3 linked regions of the Oreochromis niloticus genome follow. The protein of the gene in region 2 purifies or fractionates together with the protein of the main gene of each other region. This does not show direct contact. Links are inferred from orthologs where the notes say so. Each region holds a gene or a part of one and is shown on either strand. Other genes may lie near its edges.

What was found.
Region 1: the proteins of bbs12 (region 2) and bbs7 purify together in Homo sapiens (co-immunoprecipitation; 3 studies listed by BioGRID and IntAct, counting the BioPlex papers as one, with this or other methods). This does not show direct contact. The link is inferred for Oreochromis niloticus from reciprocal best matches to the Homo sapiens genes BBS12 and BBS7.
Region 3: the proteins of bbs12 (region 2) and mkks purify together in Homo sapiens (co-immunoprecipitation; 4 studies listed by BioGRID and IntAct, counting the BioPlex papers as one, with this or other methods). This does not show direct contact. The link is inferred for Oreochromis niloticus from reciprocal best matches to the Homo sapiens genes BBS12 and MKKS.

The regions. Positions count from the first base shown.
Region 1 is NC_031966.2:11,820,138-11,828,134, reverse strand, and holds the start of bbs7 (BBSome complex member BBS7), read right to left. Parts: upstream 3,394-7,997; 5' UTR 2,969-3,393; coding exon 2,933-2,968; intron 2,836-2,932; coding exon 2,770-2,835; intron 2,093-2,769; coding exon 2,030-2,092; intron 1,956-2,029; coding exon 1,780-1,955; intron 1,691-1,779; coding exon 1,504-1,690; intron 1,417-1,503; coding exon 1,347-1,416; intron 1,268-1,346; coding exon 1,148-1,267; intron 590-1,147; coding exon 459-589; intron 295-458; coding exon 210-294; intron 104-209; coding exon 1-103. Other genes in the region: tmem33 (transmembrane protein 33), read right to left, coding at 5,400-5,529, 5,730-5,813, 6,050-6,183, 6,622-6,689, 7,052-7,239, 7,351-7,445.
Region 2 is NC_031966.2:11,148,666-11,157,014, forward strand, and holds the start of bbs12 (chaperonin-containing T-complex member BBS12), read right to left. Parts: upstream 3,731-8,349; 5' UTR 3,629-3,730; exon of another isoform or gene 3,609-3,628; intron 1,946-3,608; 5' UTR 1,932-1,945; coding exon 18-1,931; 3' UTR 1-17. Other genes in the region: cetn4 (caltractin), read left to right, coding at 3,941-3,943, 4,183-4,338, 4,447-4,575, 5,345-5,482, 7,998-8,087. UniProt on the Homo sapiens protein: Component of the chaperonin-containing T-complex (TRiC), a molecular chaperone complex that assists the folding of proteins upon ATP hydrolysis.
Region 3 is NC_031978.2:23,281,945-23,290,539, reverse strand, and holds mkks (molecular chaperone MKKS), read right to left. Parts: upstream 3,715-8,595; 5' UTR 3,675-3,714; coding exon 2,648-3,674; intron 2,433-2,647; coding exon 2,251-2,432; intron 1,926-2,250; coding exon 1,815-1,925; intron 1,717-1,814; coding exon 1,288-1,716; 3' UTR 1,188-1,287; downstream 1-1,187. Other genes in the region: protein SLX4IP, read left to right, coding at 4,071-4,190, 4,371-4,451. UniProt on the Homo sapiens protein: Probable molecular chaperone that assists the folding of proteins upon ATP hydrolysis. Plays a role in the assembly of BBSome, a complex involved in ciliogenesis regulating transports vesicles to the cilia.

The sequences.
Region 1 (7,997 bases), about 670 kb from region 2:
CTGAGTGCTTCTACTTTAGACTGTGTCTCCTTGCTCATCCTGACTTCATCTCCGGGGCCAGCCTCGGCCTTCTGAGGCTCAGTGGTCAAACCAGTCACCCATCCTGTAAGAGGTGAAGAAAAGAGTGGACACAAGACACCAGACACTTATTGTTTCTGAGGAAAAAAAATGCATAAGCTGCAGTATTAAGGGAAACATTATCATCTAACCAGTGTAGGTGGCAGTCAAGACCTCATCATAAGACTCCTTCCCTACACAACCACCCTGGATGGAGGTCACACTCTCTGACAATACCTGTTATGAGGAAATATTAAAGATTAAGAAGGGAGTCTGTCATTTAATACTTAAATGCATTAATATATGTAAATTAAGCAACAACTATTCAAAGAACTTTAGGTTTGTAACAGTTACAAAAATACAACTGTAATTCTATGGAGAGTGAATTTTTAATCACTTACATGCTCAAAGCGTAATGTCGGTTCATTAGAGCTGTCAAAGCCGTAGACCTCAACCGTCCCATCATCCCTCCCCACCAGGATATCACTCACTCCGTCACCAATAATATCATAGGTGTCAATGCAAAGAATTCCTGGGAGACAGAAAGCGTGATCGTTTTGCCAGAGGTTAAAAAATGCATAAGTTAGTATGCATGAGTATCAGTTTAAACACTGTGGAAACATAGACTGTGTATAAAATGAGATCAGATAGATCTGTTTGAGAAACAAATTGTTACTGCACGCCCATGCAGCAGACCAGTGGTCCCCAACCCCCGGGCCTCGGACCGGTACTGGTCTGTGAGTCGTTTGGTACCGGGCCGCGAGAGTTGAGGCTCAGGTGTGAAATGTATGGTTTTCAGGGTTTTTATCGGTTTTCAGTGTTATTTTGTTATCGTTAACTCGGTTTTCCTGGGTCTTTTCACTTGTGTTATGAATAAATCTTCTTTTTTTCGGTACCGGTACTAGTTTTATTTTGTTGTATTTATCCGCGACACCTTAAAGGCCGGTCTGTGAAAATATTGTCAGGCATAAACCAGTCCGTGGCGCAAAAAAGGTTGGGGACCGCTGCAGTAGACTCTGCTTTATGACTGCTTTGACTCAGAGCAATCACCCTCTGTTGGACAGTAAAAATATTGCATTTCTGTACATACCTCCTTTCTTTTTGTCATTGTCAATTTCCCATTTGGTCGCAGCTGAATGTTCACCAATCTCAACCAATCCTATTTTTCCATCTGTGGTTCCATAGAGAATTTCCTCTCCTAAAGAGAAATCTAAGAAATTAAGTTCAAACTGGTACATATAAAGCAACTTCATGCTTTATAGTTAAAGTAAACAAAGAAATCAGCTTGCCTTTATCTTTATACAGTTCCAACACAGAAGGAGGGCCAGGAACTTCTATGTCATATGCAAGTTCAGATCTCTACATACAAAACCATAAAACAATTGGCATGTCTCATCTGACAAAGAGCAACTCAAAATCAGAACAGTAAATGAGAGCTCAGTTTACCTGCAAGACTCTGAGCACTCGATCTTGGCATGCCAGGACTGGGACGAGGTGAGTGAGGTTTTCTGTGGACAAGCATGTGATGTCATTGATCTTGTCTCCAGAGAGGTAGTAGTCCTGATCTTTGCAGTCACAGTAGTGGTTGTAGATGTAACTTGCGCACACAAAAAGGTCGGAGCCTGACACATGCCTGGAAAAGACCCAGTGGGGTAAAGATGACACAGCTCTGCACAGCTCAATCGTGTAATGTAAATCAAAATGAAAAAACATAGTTCCTACATTGCATTAATGCTCTCAGTTAGGTTGGCTTCAAAAGTGAGGAACTGTTTGCCTTTCTTGGTGAATCCTCGGACCTGAGAACCAGAGCAGACAAAGATCTTTTCCTGGGGAGTTCCCGCAGCACCTCCAAGGTCCATTCGGGCTATCTTCTGCCCAGGAAGTGTTTTAAAGACGGGCTGAAACAAAGAGTCAAAAGTCTTACAAGCTGTTTGTTTCAAATCTCTGTGATGACAGGAAAATATTTACTCACCACTGCTTCCCCCTTCTTGATACCAAAACATGTGAGTATTCCATCGTGATCAGCAATAGCAACCTGAAACATGAGGAGACACCAATCGAGCACTCTAAGATTTACCAATTTCATTTTTTAGTTTAATTAATGATTGTAGAAAAGGCAAGGAATCACATCTAGAAGATAAGCCCAGTGTCAAAAGAGACCTTACATATACTATAATTTGTTTTGACCAAGCACTGATCCCAAATGGTGATATGACCTTTGAGGTTTACCCAAAATGCACTTTTTAAAGTTTTCTACAATGAACTAATAGAAAACATGTTTAATTAAAGCCTGCTGGAAAAATGGTGTTTAAATATTGTTTTGAGGCAAAGTCTATTAATTTTTATAGTGTTTTTTATGAAATTTGACTGACTATACAAGCAGTTTACATGTCCCATTGAAAACTGCCTCTTTCAATTAAACTGAAACTTCAAAACAACTGCCCAAATTACTACACAGCGTGACAAGTCTTACTTATTGAAGGGCTCTGGTAAAGCAATTATTTATCAAAAATCAATGTCATTGGTTTTGATTTCTTACCATCTAATAAACAAAATTAGTATTACAGTTAAATAAACTAAAACCCAAACAAGGTTACATTTTTTAAACATCTGCAGTCTTCAGCAAAAGCAGGAAAACAATCTGGATTTAGTCAGAAAACAAGAAAACACATTTTAATTAATTTAGGTTACTGTATGGCTCATAAACGATACCTTTTGGGTTGCCTTTTTTCCCAGTGGAGGAAGAAGCCTCATAGTTTTCTGAGATGTCACGCCAACCTGAGAGGTAGAATGGAGGGGAACTTTTACTCCTAATATTAATAAAAGAAAAAGAAAAAAAGACAGCAGAAACCCGACGTGGTCTGCTTTGTTTTACCTGAATGTAATCAACTCTATTGAGGCGAAGATCCATCTTCTTTCTCTACTGTGTTTCAACTTAAGTAGAAACAAAAATCTGCAAATAGTCCAAGAAGGTTATTCAGACATTACTCTTGCCCCATAGCCGTCCGTTACCATTAACATTTTGTCAGAAAAACGTTCAACCCAATTCCAAGACGATAACGATGCTAGCTGAGACTGGGATTATCTAAAGCAAGTGGATTAGCTCAACGTGCTAGCTTTAGCTATCGGAGCTAACTGGTACTGGCACGCAGTCTTCCTCAAAGACCGAAAATCATCTTTAAAAAAGACACGAAGGAAGTCGATGTGTGTAGATGTGAGCGCGGATAAATTTTCATTAAACGCTGATATCAGGTATAAACGATCTGTGCAGCATTTTCAGACTTGAAGAGGGCAGTTGCCGTTGCTAATGGCAACGTTGCAGGCTGTAACAAAACTGCAATTCCACTGGTTGAAAGGGAGTAACAGACATTGAAGCTGTGTTCTGATTGGCTAACTCATTCACGTTTTCCACCCTGTGCGTCATGTCACTTCTACAGCTGGCAGAAAATACAATAATACATGAAAGACAAAAAGAGAAATGAAACATAAAAGCAGCAAATAATGACCATAATCTTTTTAAAAGTGGCCAAAGCGTGCCATTTTGCCAGTAATGTGAAAAATCCCATTAGCCTTTTGAATTTTCAAAGCTTTGGAAACAACTGATTAGTTTTTACTAAAGGATCTGTACCAACTTTTACTCTTTCTCTATTTTTGGGAAATACAAAATTGACTACTTATCCAGACCCTCTTGGCACCTCTCATTTTTAAACATAAAACACCATTTAATTTTCGTGACACATTTATTATGCCAATGTTGAAGGTGCTTAAAAGTCATAGTCATATTTCTTTATACACACCATTAATAAACACAGTCCTTTAGCTACACAAATGCTGGCACATACTGTAGAGAAACTCAAATTTGGTTTTAGTGATGGTATCTTGTCAGAGTTGTCTTGAAAATTGTCTTCTTTCTTGTGTTTTCAGATGACTAACTGGTGTTGTCAAAAGTAATCAGGGAAGAATACGTGTCTGAACTTAAATGGACAGAATAAGCTCTTTTTACTCTCCCACATAAATACCTGTTGCATCATAAAATCAAAGAACTCTTATTTAAAATGATACATAAATATCACACATTATTTATTTTTTTGGCAAATATATCCCAGATAAATGGCATGCTGTGTGTCTATAAGATTTATTTGATATGTATGTGTAAAATTGTTTTTAGGTTTAATTGGAAACCACTTAAAAACAATGTACTCATAGGGTATGAACAATTATTCACTAACTCACATTTCTCTAGTAAGAAACAATATACATTAACACTGTAATTATCTGTGATAAATACTTTTATATTAGATCTATGCTTTGAATAAATATTAAAAACAGGCATAAATAAATCCTTATTAGGATTTGTTCATATCGAAGTCAACTATTATAATGCAAGAACTTATTGGTACCAAACCCAATTAGCATTCTTCAACACTGTGTTTGTTTAGGAGATAACTTTATTGTCATTATAAAAATGTGGTTTGTCTGTAGGCAAGTAAACACAATTAACATGGCAGGGAAAGAAAAACATACCAGAGCATGCATTAAGCAAGAAACCTATAGCCTAATAAGAAATGAATGACTCAAAATCAAAACAGCTTTTAAACTGAGAAATGAGGTCAGAGTGCATTCATAAGCATGGCATGCTTTCTGCAAGTTATTCCATTTGTGAATCATACAGCAGAACATCTGGTACCTTAAAATATCCTATAAAATACAGCAGATTATTTTCTCAGTTTAACATCCATTTGACATCATAGCTACATAAGATTTTGCATGTTGCTGAAATGTGAGCCAATGGCATTGATAGAATACATTTAATAATTAGGCTTTAGACAAATAAGAGCATTGGATGCTTTACAAATCAGACATAGTTAGAACCTGAAAAAGTACAATATGATTATTTAAAGAAATGATCAGAATCCATTGTTTATAAACACATGTTCATTAATTTACTAATCTCAGAATGTTAATGTTTCATTATATAATAAGTGATTTTAATGAATAAATAAGACATGAAAGGAAAGAATGATAACAGCCGATAAACGGAACACAGCTGATGTCAAGCTAATGTGCTCAGCCCATCGAAGGTAACAGAACAACAGGATGTCCACCGCTTCAATGAGGTCACATTAAAAGGATGGAAAATCAAATATCAGCATGAGCCTTCAGTGCATTACTGGCTGGTCTTCAGCTGCACTCAGATACACAAAAATTGGAGCACAGACTGTAAAGTTGACATTCAAAAAAACGGTTCCTTCCATTGATGGCAAAGTCTTTCCCCATCGAAGTTAAGTCACATCGTACATCTTACTGAAAAACAACACATGAGGAAAACAAATTTAGTGTAATCAAACCCCCGTGGGGGCGAGGCGGCTGATAAAGGCGATACTGCTGAGGCACATCCTCCTGAAGAAGGCAGGGCAGGCAGGCTTCATGATGAAATGCTCCAAAAGAATTCGCAGCTCGGTGAACAAGGTGCTGAGACAGAAAGAAAAGTACTTCACTCGGATTGTATTGAAAGTAAATCTAATCTAATCTTTGTACCTTCTGAATAGCAGGGCATGAAAACTCTAAACAGAAGGGCCATGTCCTGGGTTGAACCCCAGAGCCTCTTGCTGTGAAGCAACAGCGCAACACCATGTTGCTATGTGACAATAACAGATAATTCAAAATCTTACCGGCAATATGGATTTCTTCTGGATGTGTAGCGCAGAGTGAGGAATCGGTAATAAATGAAAGGCAGCAATAGGCTCCCCTGGCCGCTGTTGACAAAATATTATTGACATGAACATGTGAAAACTGGACACTCTGTATTAAGATTACAAAGAAGGGCTTGCATTTGTTGAGATAAAACTGATACATATTTATGAGATTAACACAACAACAACAACAAAACAATCACTGCCAGTAATCAATATTAACATATCACTAGATTAGGGATGCTACAATGGGTCTTCACAAAAGAAATCCTTCACAAAAGAAACAGTTGTACGCATACCTGAACAGCATAAAAATAGTTGCTGGCATCAAGAAGATCTCATTACAGGCAATAAACTTCAGGATATTCTGCTGATTAGATGTCAGTTTGTCCAGGAGGCCCCGGATAAACATCATGCTGTTTGGGCCCATGGTCTAAAAGAAACAAAAAATAGTCACAAAGTGAAATGAAAGATTTGGCAAATTAACATTTTGAAAGGAGCAGTGGGAGCAAGAAGTAAAAGGTAAAGGAAAACACATTAGAAATCATTAGCTTCCAGATTTTAAGTTGTGTCTAAATGGTACATTATACTTTCATAGTTCCATTTAACTGTAACAGTTAACTATAAAGTTCTTTACGATGTGTTTCTAATTTACCTAATCTATCTCAAACACGCACACACACACCAACAGGAGCAGAGCAGCCATGTAAAGCGCTGCTCTGTTGCCATTGTGTGAATCCAACCACAAACCTTCTCTGCTGCCTCAGACATGGTGGTCTGGCTGGTACTAATATCCCAGCTTGTGGCTAAATAATGTTTAAACTGATTTCACAGTAATTTTCAATAAGTCACTGTGGTGACTCATACTTACATCAAGAACTTTCTTTGTGTAGGTAGTTGCGTGAAGCAAGGAAAAAAGAAAAACTGGAAAGATGCTCACTGGACAAGAAGGTTAAGGTTAAATAACAGAAAAGAACAACTTCCTCCTAAATAATACAATAGTAAGGGAGCATGATTGCACCTATGGAAAAACTAAATCTTTCACTGCTAAGACTAATTGATTTGTAATACTGCAGGTCTGAATCCTATTGAATGTCTCAAAACGAACCCTTTAAGGAATCCTATCAGACTGTCTTTGGAAAAAAACTGCAGCAACAAGTAAATAGTGAATCACTGTCCAACTATAACAGTGAAATAGTGTTTCATTATTGTTTAAAACTAAAAAAACAAAACACACAATGTATGTAGCAATGCTATCATCTCCATTTAAACTTGCAGACTTGCTCACAATGAAAGGATACTTGTAATGGGGTAGGAGTTGACCAGGATGAGTGAGTAGAGCAGGTAATGACAGCTGTCCTCCTGCAGAGCCTGGGCCAAGAAAGCTCTGCTCAGCTGAAAGCGTGGAAGCCTCTGGTGTAAGCGAAGAGCACTGGTGAGGGCATTCGCTAACAACGCTCTCTGATAGAAGTTAGCTGCTGCATAAGGTCTGAAATATACAAGCAGTGACAAACACTCAAATGCTGATTTAGATTGGTTTATAACTACTTTTAAAGCTAATCAACATTTATAATTAGATGATTTTCCACAGTGAACTCACCCCAAAACTGGTAGAATGAACATTACAGAGCAATAGACAGTGAAGAGTCGTGACAGCCACATTGCAGTTTCCAGCTTGTTGCTCATCAGAAATTGCTGCAGAGACACAAAGATGGTTAACATTAAACCCAACCAATCCCTTGTTCTTGTCTCCACTCTTCTCATATATACTGGTAGCAGATTTACTGACTTTAAACTTACACTCAGGTTCTCTCAGTGGCTAGCATACAAAATTCATCCAAACTAAAAAGCATCTTAATGCAATCTACAAGTTAATTTTACCGCCTTGCCTTCAAAAGTCAGGGGGCAGCTGCAACTCATCCTGCTCATCCTCATTCAACTGATGTTGCTCAAGTGAATGATTGGTAGCACATGTCATCCAACTCTTGCAAACAGCACTGAAATACATGCCACACATGCCTACTCTACTTGCCCCCTAAGATAAACACACACGTTTGGGTGTCAAAATTACAGATTTGGGATGAAATCATTCCAATTATATGTAGAAAATAAAACAATCTAGGGCTAAAGCACTCAAATAAATAATCCCAATTAAAAAAAAAAGTAAACTGTTCAGTAAAAAAAACTATGCATAGCACATCCATTTTGTAAGGGCCTCAAGATATCTTAAATCTTAGCAAAACTGTT
Region 2 (8,349 bases):
AATATTCTACATGAACATCACAACAGCAAGAGACTGCTCTCGGCAATCTCAGTTTTTTGGTCTACGCCTGTGATAATCTCTGCATCCGTCTGTAAAACCAAGAAAACAAGATCTAAGGCTTTCCTCCATGCTTCCTGTTTCACGCTCAGATTATCATAGATTTCCACTGCTCGTGCTTCATTGGGTTTTGGTGCTGTGAAGACTTCACTATCCTGATTTTTACTGTCAAAGAAAAGTTGTGGAGACTTTGTAGCATTGCCTAGATGCTTGTTATAGTCCTGCAGTTGTTGGCTCACCTCAGTCCTAGCTTTGACTTTTGAAATTCTTCCAGTGTTAACCATTACAGTGGATATGTAATCTATTAAACCATCTGCCATGAGGTCCAACACTACACGCGTGTAGTGGTTGGTTCCTTTCTCACCGTTCTTTTCTCTGTGACACATGACATGATACTCCACTCGCTTTTGTAGGTGATGAATACAAAGCATTTCTGTCCCACACGCCCCTGGTAGAAGAGCTCTGTCTTTTAGTGCATAGTGTAAGCGATAAGCACAGGCCCAAAACTGGTCCTCCAGGGCCTGCAGCTTTCCATGTATAGAGCTTGTAAGGATTACTGTAACTAGCCCGCTGTTGCTGCCAGTTGAGATATTCACAGCCAGGGCGTTCTTCTCGTGGCTACTGAGGTCTTTCCATATTGCAACCTTTGCCCCAGTGCCAACATTTTGCTTGCTCAGTTGCGCAGCAAAGGTTACCGGAACAACTCCAGACAAGTTGGCAAATGTCTTCAAAACAGAAGCCTTCACATTTTCCACTACAAGTATACGATGCCTACAACAGTGCTGAATCACTTTTTCACAAGCGTGCCCATGGATTAGTATCAGGTTCACTTCCAGGTTCAACAGATGTGCCACAGTCTGTTCCACCCATTCGTCCTCTTTGCTCGAACTTGAAAAATCCACGTGATCCCTCACACGGTGCATACCTGTCGGCCTGTTAAAGCCAAGATGGCGGTAAGTATGTGATAAATCTCCATTTATGAGAACAACCTTCAGTTGTTGTTCTTTTAAGTGATGAGCGACTGTAGCCTGTTCAGCAAATAAAAGAACAACACAGCCAAATACAACGCACCCGTGGTCCTCTGGTAAACCAGGGAGCATACAAGTCACCACTTTAGTAATGTCAAACATGGGATAGCTCACATCTTCTTGATTAGTTTTTGACTGCATCCAAATAACTTCGACAACAAGTTTCATTGCATCATCACAACCATGGCTCAATCCCTCTGCAATGTGTACAATGTCAGGAAGCTTAGGCTGAGGAGACTGTAGCAATACTTTGGAGAAATCTTCAGACTTCGCCTCACAAAAATGTCTGCTAAGTTTTATTCTTCTCTGTTCACCGACGGTCAGAGTCTTGAGGTCAAACTTTATTGTTTCTTGCATGCTGCACAATGCAGGCGATGAATTTTTGATGGGTTTCTTGGACACTTTCACAGCATAACTCTCTAACGATGTCACACCCAGACCATCAATTGAAACGGCACATTTCCTGCAAGCATCCAGACATACATCCATCCCTTCAGACATAGCTGAGATTATGTTCCCTACTGAAATTCCTCTCTGAAGACAGTCCAGGGCAACACGGCTCCAGGCTCCTGCTAGGAACAGTAGGCATCCTGATCCTGTATGGTAGACCTTCTGGTGGGCTTGAATAGTCTCATAAACCAGCTGACCCACTGCACAGGTCAGCTCCAGGGTCTCAATAATGCGAAAACATGAGCACACAAGAGCAGACTCCCCACTTTTGTCATCTTGGATAAACTTGTACTTTATACAAGGGCCCAAAGAGGAATGTGAGATTCCTGCCAGCGCCAACAGTTTCTGCAGTCCAACATGCTGTCGATGGTTTATGATTGTACTTCCCAACATCATTCGAGGACTGTGAACTATAAAAGAAAATTTTTAAGTTTGGTCATTTCTAAACAAAAAAAGTTCTCACGAACATTTGCTTTAGTTAGGAAACATGATTTGTGTTTTTAAAGTAAAAAGTCACAAAGCACAGTAACTAAGTATAGGCCCTCAGATCTCCTTTTTTATCCATCCATTCTCTTCTGCTTATCCTTATTTAAGTCGCGAGAGGGCTAGAGCCTATCCCAGCTACCATAGGGTGAGAGGTGAGGTACACCCTGGAGAGGTCACCAATCTGAGACAGAGCACACCTCCTGGAAATTCAAATGTATTATACATTATGGTACTGTAATCCTCAAATGAAAAAAGATTTGTAAGAAACTAAAAAGACGCAGGGGAGGGGGGATTGCGAGAATAGCTTTTTTTAATGGCCCTATTTGTTTTTATGCTGTTTCTTTTTTTTATGATAGACCATCTTCTACTACTCCTTCTTTTGCCTGCTCACTTTAGGGGTCGCCATAGCACATAACCTGGCTCCATCTCTACCTATCCCTAGGATCCTCTGTCACACCAACCCCCTGCATCTCCTCCTTCACTACATCCATGAACCTATCTGTGGTCTTCCTCTTTTCCTGCCTGACCTCATCTATCAACCTGTTCATCACCACTGTGAACAAGAATGGGCTCAGGGCAGATCCCTGATGTAATCCCACCCCCACTGAAAACCCATCTATCACTCCTACTGCAAACTTCATCACTATCCTCATAAATGTCCTGCACCAGCCTCAGATATTTCTCTAACACTACTCACTCCCTCATGCAGTACCACAGTTCCTCTCTTGGCAGCGTATCATATGCTTTCTCTAGAGCTACAAAAACAGCCTGAAACAGTTTTGACCTTCTCCACACATCTCCATCAACATGTTCAAAGTGAATATCACATCTGTAATTCTCTTTCTCGGCATGGAGCCCTACTATTGCTCACGGATTGTAAACTCTCTGGTTAACCTAGCCTGAACAACTGTTTTCTTTAGTTTAATGGCAAGACGTGTCAACTTTACAGATATTCTAGAAAGTTCTAATCTAGTTAATTAAGGGTTTCAATCATTTTTATGCAGAGAAGCCTTAACCCGAGTCATCACTGTCAACTGAGCTGTTTTCACTGTCAGTGTGGGCTTTTTAAAAAAAAACAAAAAACAAAACTCTTTTAACTCTGATAACGGTAATTAAAATAGCAATTTGGCAAGTTTGATATTTTGTTTTGTTTTCCTTCTTTGTCCAGGGAAACCAAACTGTTCGTAAGCCTTTCACCCCCTCATCACGTGTCTTTTAAGATTTAAGCAGTTTACAGCCAAGCACTGCTAAATGGAAAATCGTATTTGCAGACAGATGGCAGTCAGCATACTGACTTTTGACAGATATAATGGGTGCAACCCATATATAATAGATTTAGGTATTAGATGTAAAACATTGCTACTCATGAAAAACTGACGGGTATTAATTCTTCCTCCAACACTAGCACCGAGTTTTGTCAATGCCTGCACTTCACTCAGCATCTTACAAGTCAGCTTACAAGCTAAGCTAACGAACCAAAGACAGGTTTACTACAAAACTGCCCGTGTCTGTACCTTATTCCAAGAGCAGGACAAAAAACATAAATGTCTCTGCAAAATGGCACTGTAAAACAAACTTTTTACTAACCTCAATGAGTATACTTTTACCTTATTTCAATAGTGTACGAGACATTTATAATACGCCTGGTCCAGCTCAACCGATTAAACACTGCGCATGCGTTTTGTTTCCTAGTTGCTGGGCGACAACAAACTGTCCGTATGATTGGCTGAAACAGTTTTAGCCCGCCTACTCTTTTTTGTGATTGGTTAATCAGGTTTCGTCAGCGTGCTTTCATCATTTGTATTGGCTCTTTCCAATGTCTGTTCACAGAAAAACTACACAGCCGTTGCTACCTGGTTTGTTGACACCAGACCATCAAACAAAACATAGAGGTTTCCCCGTCGGGATCATTAATTCAAATGGTGTGCATTTATTTAATTAAGTAAAGTAACTGTATAAACGAATGTTTAATGAACATTTTAAGAAGTTGTGAGATTTGCCATAAAAAGCCCTTAGTTTTAACTTGATTCTCTTTGGTCTCCCGGAACAGCATTTAAGCTAGCTAGCATAATAATGACCTAAAATACGATATGTACCGCGACTCTCGTTGCTGTTAACTTAATAGGTACCTTTTGTGATGTATTAATATTGTATTTCATAGGCTTCAAGTTACCGGAAACCAGCTTCCACGGCTAGCCAAAGGAAAAAGACGGATTTAAAAAACGACCTGACTGAGGAGCAAAAGCAAGAAATTAAAGAGGCGTTCGATCTCTTTGACACAGATGGAACTGGAACAATAGACGTGAAGGAGCTCAAGGTTGGCTTTCTAGTTAAATGTGTATTGATGAAAATTAAGAAAGGAAAACATATCGCGGTCACTGCACCGCAGCAGCTTCAGCTTTCTTTACTGTTATCTGTGCCACAGGTTGCCATGAGAGCTCTGGGCTTTGAACCAAAGAAAGAAGAAATCAAGAAGATGATTGCAGACATTGATAAAGAGGGCTCTGGAACGATTGACTTTGGTGACTTTCTCAGTATTATGACACTGAAAATGGTGAGTGCTTTACCGAAAGGAACAACCAGAAAACGTCTCTGCAGTTAAGTTGGAAGTTTTACTGTCTGAAAATAGCACTGTCCTCAACTGTTGCAGCTAAATCAAGCATTTGTATGTTGTTTCAACAACTGTTGTTTTGGAGCAATTCTAAACATTGCAAGAAGTTGCTAGATATAGTAGCTTTCTTTCTCTCGCTCTTGCTCTCTTTCTCGCCCTCCCTGTCTCACACACAGACACATTTGTAAGGCTAGTGTATTTGTGGGTTGACCCATGAAAAACCAAATCGTCTCTGCCAGTGCTTGTTCTGCTCTTGACTCTTGTTTGGAGCTTCTGGTACTTCAGATGTTGACGATCAGGTGCCTGATTGGCATCTGATTAGCATGGGTCCTGCTACAATGAGCAAATACATCACGGCACTGTACATGCAAAGTCACCAACACCTTTCTGGCTTTCCTGTGTCCTTACTAATAAATAGCACAGTAACAGTAGATCATAGCAAAAGGCTTTCTTCAGACTGAAAAAACTATAGATAAAATGTATTGTGGCCACCTGTTCTTTACATTACAAAACATTTTTCCATTTAAGAGTTATAAAATATACTGTATGCACATTCTTTATGTCTGTGTTTTGTAAAATTTGCTTCACTTCATTTCCTACACACATTCTGCAAATTATGTTCATATTGGACTGCATTTGGAGCAAAATGTTAAAAAAGCACATTTTTAATTTGTATTATATTCATGTGTGTATTCATTTTTGATGATAACAGAGTGAAAAAGACACAAAAGAAGAAATACTGAAGGCTTTCCGGCTCTTTGATGATGACTGCACGGGAAAAATCTCATTCAAAAATCTCAAGAGAGTTGCCAAGGAGCTGGGTGAAAACCTCACAGATGCAGAGCTGCAGGTATAGAGTTCTTCATTACTTTGGAGTACTTACAGTTTTGGTTTTTTGGGGGGGTGGTAGCACTTTTGCATGTACATAAAAGATTTTGTTTATACTAAGAATAACTTTTGTATTTTTATTGAAGCCATGCTAAATTCATACCATGAAATAGTATGAATATCTGTGGGCCAAATTTGGAAAATGATTTTGACATATAAGGAATCACAGAAGATGAGCCTGATTAAAAAACAAATGTAGGTAAAAATGAGACCTTTGATAATGTTATAGTTTTGTCCAAACAACTATCCCACATAGTGATTATACAGTACTGTAAGGAAGTCTTTGGCCCTTCCTTATTTCTTATTTTTTTTGCATATTTGTCACACACTGTGGACATGCACTAGCTATCCACAGCTACCTGCCCCTGTGTGAAGAAGTAATCCACCCTCCCCTTTTTAAATCATGAATTAACTGTGATTAAACACATTTTTTTGAAAGCTGACTTCAGTTTCACAGCCACACCCAGGCCTGACTGCTGCCGGAATCAGGAAATCACTTAAACAGAGGCTGTTTAAAGGAAGTAAAGTAGGCTAAAAGATCTGAAAAAGCAGCACAGCTGTGAAACAAAAACATTGGCATCTATCAGTTTGGAAAGGTTTAAGGACTCCAGCAAACCACGGTGAGAGCTATTATACACAAATAGAGAGAGGCTGGAACAGTGGTGAACCTTCCCAGGAGTGGCTGACCTGCTAAAATTTCTCCAAGAGCACACTGATGACTCATCCAGAAGGTCACAAAGAACCGAGAACAACATCTAAAGAACTACAAGTTCCAAGAGTGAGTTCTAACCAAAAAGAACATAAAGGCTATTCTCACAATTGCCAAAAATGTCTTGTTGATCTCCAAGACCTTGACGAGACAAAAAGTTGAACTTTTTGGGAAGGTTTGAGTCCCGCTACATCTAGCATAAAACAAACACAGCATTTTAAAAAAAGTACATCGTAGCAACATCTGGGCCTGCTTTGGTCAACTTGACTTAATTGACGGAACTTTGAGTTCTGCTCTATACCTGAAAATCCTAAAGGAGAATGCCTGACCATCAGTTCATCCCAGAAACTCATGCACACTCAGGTTATGCAGCAGGACAATGATCCGAAACACACCAGCAAGTTCACCTCTGATTGGCTTAAAAAAAAAACAAAGAAAACACAAGTCACGACTGATTAAGGTGCTTTGGCATAACCTTAAACAGGCTGTTCATGTGGCTGAATTAAAACAGTTTTGCAAAGAAGGGTAGGACAGTGATGTGAAAGGCTTGATTGCAGTTTCTACTGCCAAGGGTGGTAAGACCAGTTATTCGGTATACTTTTTCACATACTGCCAGGTAAATTTGGATAGCATTTTTCCCTCAATCAAATTAATGAAAAAAATCATAAATTAAAAATTGCATTTTGTATTATCAGGTTATTGAAACTGATTCCTGAGGTAATGATGCTCAAAAAGTTGGGTTTTGAGAAAAACCCCATCTTGAACAAAAAAAAGATTTTGAATTTAGATTGTGATATTTGTAGTGGGTGTAAACTGATTTGATTTTTAACAGAGCGCTTTTCAGTTCTGAAAAATACAATATGGCTTTCTCCTTTGCATAAAACCTGATGAAGGCTCAGTAACGCTGGGTAAAATGAAATGAATTAATAAAAAGGTTTCTCTACTGCTCTGCTGCTCAGTACTTTGAGAGCCTGCAAGTCAGTCTGCAGTAAATATTCATAGTGTAAAGATTTAAATTTTTATATGTAAATGAACCGGTTCTCGCTTTTCTACTCTACTTTATATGCCTCATTCAAACACACACTCATATAAGCACTTTTTTTCTACACAAAAAGTTCTTTCTGTCTAACATTCACATACAATCGTACTCCAATGAGCACATCAGAGAGCAACTTGTTGTTCATTATCTTGCACAAGGATACTTGGCCTGGCCTGCAGACTAAACCACCAACCTTCCAGTTAGTGGATAACCTGCTGCACCTCCTGAGCTACAGCCACCCCAGCTGGCTTTGTTAAATATACTAAAGTACAAAAAAAAAGTTGCTCATTCTGATGGGGTAAAGTGGACCCTTTTGCTGGTTTGACTGATTTTAAATTCGCTACCTCATATTTAAAATATTGTAGTACCTCTACTACAGTAAATTGTATAAGTGGTACAAACCGTAAATTAATACCGCATGGCCAGAAGCTAAGAATTCTTTATTTAAAGAACAATACATACTTAGAGGAACCACTATAAATACATTTCTATTTAAGTACCAAACTTATTGTCTCTCTTCTCATATCTCCCAGTTCCTCTTGGTATGTTCTGACATGTCACAGTACAATAGTAGTAACTGTATTGTTTTAGGTGGGGTTTTCCTGGGTAACCTTTGCAGTCAAATGCCATGCATGAAACACAAAGTTACCTGAAGTCAGTATGAGAATTGTTCCGGTTTGATGCTCTCACTTCCTTCCCTTTGCTTCATCACATTTATTATCCTTTCAGGAAATGATTGACGAGGCAGACCGAGACGGGGACGGTGAGGTCAACGAACAGGAGTTCTTGCGGATAATGAGGAAGACTAATCTTTATTAAACCTCAGTGTCTTAGAACCTTTGTTTGTATTGTAACTTTTTTTGGAACATTAGTTTTGTTTGTATGGAAATATTTTAATATGCTGTATCTTTGCACACGCTTTTATAAAATTGCAAAACCAATAAATCTATTTCATCAGAGTTGATTTGTCTGTTACATTGTCATTATAAAATCCATTATTTTAAAAATAAAGACTCAATGAGTTGTCTTTTTCTACAAAACATACAGTTTGGCAGATAATACAAAAATATGAATTATACAA
Region 3 (8,595 bases), on a different chromosome or scaffold from region 2:
TCTCCCATCACAGTCTCAAGAGCATGGAGGAGATTCCAGGAGACAGGCTCTAGGAGAGCTGGACAGCTGTGCCTGTAAAAGGTCCTTAACACATCAGCAGGACCGGTATCTGCTCCTTTGTGCAAGGAGGAACAGGATGAGCAATGCCAGAGCTACAAAATGACCTCCAGCAGGACACTCATGAGGGTGGTCTAAGGGCCTGACGTCCTCTAGTGGGCCCTGTGCTCACTGCCTGGCACCGTGGAGCAGATTAGCATTTGCCATAGAAAACCAGAATTGACAAGTCCACCACTGGTGACCTATGCTTTTCACAGATGAGAACAGGTTCACCCTGAGCACATATGACAGATGTGAAAGGGTCTGGAGAAGCCGTGGAGAATGTAATGCTGCCTTTAACATGGTGGTGGGTGAGTGATGGTCTGGAGAGGCATATCCACTGAGAGGCACACAGACCTTTACAGGCTAGCCAACGACACCCTGACTGCCATTAGGTACCAGAATGAACCCCATGGACCCACTGTCAGACCCTATGCTGGTGCAGTGAGTCCTGGGTTCCTCCTGATGGATGACAATGCCCAGCCTCATGTGGTGAGAGTAAGGAGAGTTCCTAGAGAATAAAGTAACTGATGTTGCTGACTGGCACCCACACTTGCCTGACCTAAATCCAATAGAACACCTCTGGGAACACCTCTAATGACAGGAGCTCATTGATGCCCTGCTCCAGATCTGGAAGAAGATCCCCCCCAGGACACCATCCGTCATCTCATTAAGGGCATATGCAGACGTTGTCAGGCATGTGGGGGCCACACAAACTACTTACTAGTACTTTGAGTTGCTTTAATGACATTTCTGCAAAACAGACTAGCCTGAAGTATCAATGTTTCATTTTTATTTTTGGGGTGTCTTTGAATTCAGCTCTCTGCAGGTTGATAATTTTCGTTTCCATCCAACAACATGGTATCTCTTTACTGCTAACACATTAGTATAATTACCCAGCATGATTTTTTCCTCAGAGACATCAGATGCGTTTTCAAAGTATTCCTTTAATTTTTTTGAGCAGTGTAGTTAAAGATTAATGCTGCCTTCACAGATATAAGTTACCCATGTCAGAATGTACTAATGTACCCCAGTGCCAACATGGGTTTTAAATGATATGCAAAAATAAGACATTCCCACTCCCTACTGTCTAAACTTTGTTTTTTTTATTTGAAACCAAAAAGGAAGCATTCAGTCCTTATTTTAAACCCCACGAACCAGAATTCCACACTACACAAAATATTTGTTCTGCTAATTCATATCTTGAATTATATATTTAACATCCAGAGCAAGATTAGCAGTTTCTATAGCAACTTGCAATGCGCTGAGTTTAGCTGTGAAGGAGTCTAGTACATGTGGCTGCACACGAGTGTCTCTAAACACGGGCGATGGACAGAAATCCGAATATTTAGTGTTTAGATAAGTCCACTTCTTACTTGGGCTACTTTGTACCAGACCGCAGCCACAGAAGCCCAAACTGTCCTCCATGGTTTCTTTGATGGCATCTGCAGGGAGCATCCAGCGATGAGCGTGAGTCAGATCAATTAAAGAACTGCCACCATCATGCTCCAGTGCTCCAGCTGCAGACTCCAGAGCACAGCAGAAAAGCTCCACACCAAGAAGGTACTCTGTCTGTGAGCACATTAATACTGATGCAGTCTCTGGTACCTCACTCTTGCTCTAAGAAAAAAAACATGGCATCATGAAGGCATGTCATTGTGAAAGATATGTGAAATCAATAAAACTGGGGTAAGTGAAGACCAAATACTGGATCTCACCTTGTGTCTAACATAAGCAGCCAAGTGTGTCTCAGTACAGCCACCCCCAACCAAGGCAAATGGTTCCCTTAGAGTGAGCCTCAGTACATGTTCTGCCGTCTGGCACACCACCTTTAGCACAAACACACACACAAAGTGACCACTTTGTCACATTTACATCACAATAATGGGTATACCATGTCTCTGTATTAAAAACATATATTTTTTTAAATCTGAAGAAATTTGATCTCTCAATGGACGAACACTAAAAAATTTACTTTGTGGGGAAATCCATTACTGACTTCTCATTTGTTGAACTAACATACAGCAGGAATTGTAAATCTTAGCAATAGGGAGTCTTATGAGTGGAATCTACATTGTTTCAGGCAATATGTCTTCCCATCCATCATTAACTCCAGAAGCCAACAGGGCAGCTTTAACACCCACTTTATCTTACCTTCAGCTCATTTAACATGGTCTGGTTCCTGTGGCAGAGGATCATTGTGCAGATCGCAGACTCCCCAAGAGGGAGTAAATGCAGCATTGTCTTGGATCCAAAGTGCTTTATACAGAGATCCCTCACCTTTCCGTAGGTCTTGGGTGGGATTGTGGTATGTAATGTGGCCACAGGTTGAGCCCCTATTTGTAAAAGGTATGCAAACAAACAAACAAACAAACAAACAAACAAACAAACAAAACCCTACCATAAATACAACACAAAGTATATTCCACTTGGACAGTAGATAGATTATTACAGTAGTGCAATGAGTTGACTTGAAATACAAATAAAGCTATTGGTGTTTAACTGGTGCTTGTATGTATGGCATGATTTTGCAGCCTGCATCTGAGCTTACCTGTCAGCTGAGTGAGTGGTTCCATAAGAGCAATTCCCAGTCTCTCTACCACTATGACACCATGACTCCTCAGGTATTGCTGCAAAACTGGGTGGATGACCTTCTGGCACACGAAGAGCTTCACTTCATCATTAATCACCTGTCTGCCAAGCTCCAGAAGTTGACCCAGGATCTGTGAGTCTGTGTCTACATCCGAGTGGGCCTCAATTACTCCATCTCCTAGTTCAGAAATGTCCCCAGCAAGAGATGCACTGAAAAGCACAACACTGAGGGGATTTAAAAGATTGTCTTCCTCGCTCAGGCCATCAGGCATCTCCACCAGTAAACCTGGAAGCACTTCAGAGCTTAGCACAGAATGGCCTTCTACAGGAACAGTCACTATTCTGCCAAAACTGACTATACCTGGACTGCTGCAGGGAACGGTGAGCAAAAAAGCTTGCACAGCCAGTTTGCTAATGTGAAGCGTCTCGGGCTCTGTTAGTACACATGCGGGTTTGCTGGAGATAACACTGCGAGCTAACGTGATCAAGTTCTGAGTGCTGCAGAAGTCGAGCTTCACTCTACAACCACAGTCTTCTCGTTGAAGGTAGCTGGTACACAGAGCGAGCAGGTAGTTGTTCACTCTGATAGCCACGCTTTCCCTGAGAGCAGACTTTTTGATTTGTTCAATAAGAGAAAGGCATAAGATGGCTGCAAACAAACCGCAGTCGCTGAAGCGAGAGACGTGGTTGAGGATGGAGGTTTTTATGAGATTGATAAAAGACTGCGAGGAGGAAACGGATGAAAGAAGAACCGAGGAGGCAGAGGTGGTCACGACGTGTCCTCCAATGTTGTTGTGAACTTGTTTCAGTCTACCTGTGGGACCAAAACAAGACGTTAGTATCTGTTTCAGCAGCTGAAGCTTGCTGCAAATATCAGTGTTGTCCAGTGGCATATCAGTGCAAACAGATGGAGATTTCTTGCTGACTCGAGACATGACCGAAGCAGATTTAACATTGTTGAGGTAGACAATACCAACATACGGCATTGAAATCGGCAGGAATAAGTGTTAGTAATGATAGAATAGTGATGCTCGTAGCATTGCCTGACCAAATTGTTTTTAAAAAGAACGGGGAACAGTTGCAGATTAATTTATTAAATCCAACCAAAACCATTACTACCTTATTGTAGGGTCTAACGTTTGATGCCATACATATTTAGATGTAATTTGACAGTGTATAGTTTAAGAGATTGACAAAGGCGTTGTACAGACACAGCTCGTTTCCATGGTAGCAACACAGCGCTTGGCCCAGCTGCGGTCCTACTCGAGAAACCGTCGCTTGCCTCTAGTACCGGCTTTTCATAAGGAATAAACAAACTAAAAGCGAATTTACGAGTCTTTATAGTAGAAGAGTAGTTGTCCATCTCTATTATTATTTTTTTTATGCAACAGGCATACAGTGAAACGTCCCACTCACAATGCCCTCAGTTATTGGACTACAAATTTAAGGTGACGTCATCTCCGGTCGCCTGGCTGTTGAAGAAACATTCAAAACTGTTGGCGGTATGAAGTCCTGGTTAACTTTATTATATGTATATGTTTTATGTCGAACGAACTTATTATATGTTATTATTTTATTTTATTATAACACTTGTTATGTTTTTGTAATTGTTGACGGTGGTGGTTTGTCGCACGAGCGTAACTAATAAAGAAATCTGTCTCTGTTGTCTTCAAAAAATACAGCTAATAGCTGCTCACCGTGCACTTACTCTAGTGAAGCTAACTGAATTCATGAGAATGGCTCCTATCAAACTTGTCATTAAGGTAAGTGAAACGATATACCCACTACACAAACTCGTGCGGTGTTGTGTTGAATTAACATACTGTATATTATATTTGTTGATGATGAATGACTAAAACGAGGTAAAGAAGGGAGTGTGGCTCAGGAAGTACAGATGATTAGTAAAGAGGAAGTGAGGGCAGCTGTGAAGAAGTTAAAATTATCGTAAGACTCATTTGCGGAAAATTTGTAGCAGTATGAGCTGTACTGTTTTCATTACTGGGATACAGCAGACACAGGAAGAAATCTATACAACAATGTAGGCTTGAAGAGAATGCAGGGTAGGAATCCAAAGGAAGAAATGTTGATTATTTTGTTGACAATAGGACATATAGGCTAAACCATACACTAGAACAGGCAAACACCGAACAGGTCTCTGCATTTATGTAATCCACCAAAACCTGTTGAACATGTATCAATCCTTTGCATTAAGTTTGAGTGAGAAAGAAGAGAATCAGTGGCTTTATTCAAGGACAGAAATGACAGTTTTTCATTGAGGAATTTGTTACTGAAATTAAACAAGCTTTTATTTAAATATCTTGAATTAGATGATTGATGCTAGTCTCCTGTCCACATTCCAGTCCACTAGGTGGCAGTAATGCACCTGTTGGTTTGCCAACTTACAGGTGCATTACTGCATTGAAGAAAAAGCTACAAGAGGATGAAGAGTGGAAAAGCAGTTGGTTCAAATGACTTGCCTTTGGCGGCATATGGATATCTATATGAGAGGGAAGCATGTGATTGGATGCCAAGGAAGGAACTGTGTTATCGCATGAGGAAGTTAGAAGTGGCAGAGAAGTATTTGAGGGTAGTACAGGACATATATGAGGACACCAAGATGATAGTGAGGTGTGCAGTATAAGTGAGCCCATCCTTTTTCGCTGTTGTGATGGACAGCTGAAATGAGGTCTGGCAGGAGTCTCAGTGAACTGTCATGTTCACAGATGACTGTGATCTTTAGTAAGAGTAGGGAGCAGGTGGAACCTGGAGAGATGGAGGTGTGTTCAGGAGAGTAGAGGAATGAAATTCATTAGAACCAAGAAAGAATAACTGTGTGTGAATAAGAGGGAGATGGGTGAAGATGGAAGGAGTAGAGTTACTGAAGGTGCATGAGTTTAAATATCTGGGAACAACCATCCAAAGCAACGCACAATGCAGAAGAGAGGTGAAGAAGAGTGTGCAGGTAGAATGGAGCAGGTCAGAGGTGATTTGTGGCAGAGGGATAGCAGCAAGACTGAAATAGAAAGTTTACAAGATGGTAGTAAGACTTGCTATGATGTATGGTTTGGAGATGGCACTGACAAAAAGACAGGAGGAGGAGCTGCAGGAAGCCGAATTGAGGAAGTTCACATTGGTACTAATCAGGATGGACAGAATTCGAGATGAGCATATCGGGGGACACCTCAGAGTGGTTTGGAGACACAAAGGGCCAAGGCTGTGCATGTGTGCAGGTGATGGATAGTGGATATGTTGAGGAAAGGATTTTTGCTATGGAGCCCCCAGGCAGGATGAAAATAGATATACAGAGAAGATGAATGAATGAATGTGAAGGAAGACACGAAGATGGTTGGTGTGACAGAGGAAGATGCTAAGGAGATGGTGAGATGTAGGCAGATGGTTAGTTGTGGGAGTGCCTGAAAAGATCAGCTGAAATAAGAAGGAGATAATAGAGCAGGGCGATATGACCAAAAATATTTATCACGATATACATTTGAAAATTTGCGATAACGATATAACTGACGATATAATTGACACTAGACAAAATACTTTACAACTCCACAACTTTATTAGTGCAAAAAACCCCATCAATGTATTTTCACTTAAACAAGCAGCTGTTTTTTATGTGCATTAAAGTTATATAAAAATGTAACAGTGCAAATGCAAATTCCTTGCTGGCAGTTTAACCAAAAGGCATTTCCAGTGGAAATTGGCCCACATATCCTCAGCATAACCATGTATAATATCCACAAAACTTAAAAAGAGGTTATACACACACAATACGGTAATATTATGTTGAAGCACAGTACGTATCACTCCGCGAGGCTCCTGCCTACGATAGCCGTAATGCTCCGACAATCCATCAAGCGGTGCGGGTTCGTAGTTTAGCAAAGTCGTACTAAAACATTTGACAGATTTTTGAGCGCCGTGTACCACATAAAATCGTTTCGAGGTCAGTAAACACAACCAGAATTCATACATAAGGCACACGGGATTATAAGGGGCACTGTCAATTTTCAGAAAAATCAAAGGATTGATTTTAAGTGCGCCGTATTTTCCAAACAACACGGTAATAACGACGGCCCGCTAGCATGCGCTACCAAAAACAGTGCTTTGTTGTGTATCTGAGGGACGAAAGCTAAACCAGTTCCACACCACTGAAGTTGCAGCATTTTTACAAACCGATTCTGGTTCATCCGTTTCATTTAACGATCCACTTTCGCTCTTCTCATTCTGCGTCGCCGCCATGTGCGTATGTAAACATAGGCACTGCGCATGCGTGTTTTACCCATATTCTATCGCGATATTTAATTTTCCTATCGTTGCCCAAAATTACACCGGTATTACCGTGAACGGTATGATATAGTCCAGCCCTAGGAGATAATATATATTTGTTAAATTAAAGAACGTTGTGCTCCCATGTTCAACTGTGCAACAGCAGTTGTGCCTCAAGATAAAATCAGACGACCCCTGTGAGCAAGTACATGGTGACAATGGGAAGGAAAAATCTGTTGTGTGGTCAGACAAATCAGACTTTGAAATTCTTATCAACGCTCAGTTTAAAAGCCTGCATCTCTGGTGGTGCATTAATGCCTATGGGCTTGGCAGCTAACACATCTGGAATACGCTCCAATCCAGATGATGTCTCTTTCAGGGAAGACCTTGCATAATTCAGCAATACAATGCTAAAGCATGTACTGGATCTGTTACAACAGCATGGCTTCACAGTAGAAGAGTCCCAATGCTGAACTGGTCTGGCTGTATTCCAAACCTTTCACCAGTTGGAAACATTTGGCAGAAAATAAAATGAAAAATAGAATAAAGAAGACGCAAGACTTTTGAGCAACTAGAATCCTGTATCAGATAAGAATGGGATAATGTTCCTTTCCTAAAAGCTCAGCAGCTGGTCTCCTCAGTTCACAGATGTTTACATTGTTGAAAGAAGAGGACATGCTACGCAGTAGTAAACATGGCCCTGTCCCAACTTTTTTGAGACATGTTGCTGCCAACAAATTCAAAATGACCTTGTTTTTTTTCTTGAAATAGTACTACAATTTTCTCAAGTTTAAACATTTGGTATGTTTTCCATGTTCTCTTGTAAATAAAATGTGGGATTATGAGATTGAGGACCAATGAATTCTGCTTTTATTAACATTTTATACAGTGTCCCAGCTATTTTGGAATTGGGTCTGTAACTCTAATTGAAGTACATTTGCTGAGAGCCTTTCCCAGTAAACTTTGCTCAGGGCTATAAAACTGTTTATAGCTTATTTCAGCGTCTTGTCAACAAGTACTTGCCATATGTATTTGGGAAATATTTTGCTTCTAAGAAGCTGAAGAAGCTGTTTTGTGTTTTTCACTCACCACAAAATGCATTTTTCTGACGTAAGATGCACACAAGGTACCAAGCGACGAGATGAATATGCTTTCTTTTCAAACGTTTTAGCCGTCATGATAAACAGCTCTCTGTGTTTGTGCTACGTCCAAATAGTAGAACAGCTACACAAACTACTTCCAGCAAATGACATGAGTTTTTATGGTCTGCGCTAAACCTTTGAAAAGCTCTCGTGCAGCCCTGGAAAATATGCAACCCAGCAATACAGCATGTGGTTGTTTTTCTAGCATTTGCTGTATTCATATTCTGATGTAAGATTGTCTTTCTTTTTTCCCCTCTAAGTAGCAATTTATTTGTCCACTAGAGGGCACTACAGATGCATGTTTCAACTGCTGTAACACCACATTACCATGTTGTGGTTCATTCTTTAGAAAAAGTTGGAGTTTCTGGTCACCTTTTGGAAATCTCATGCCTTCCCAAGAGCCTTTTGTTAATGGGCATAACCATACCGCGAAGAGGAAACTCATTCTATGAAAAATCCGAGCTGTTCATCCTCAGTCTGTTGCTCTGACAGA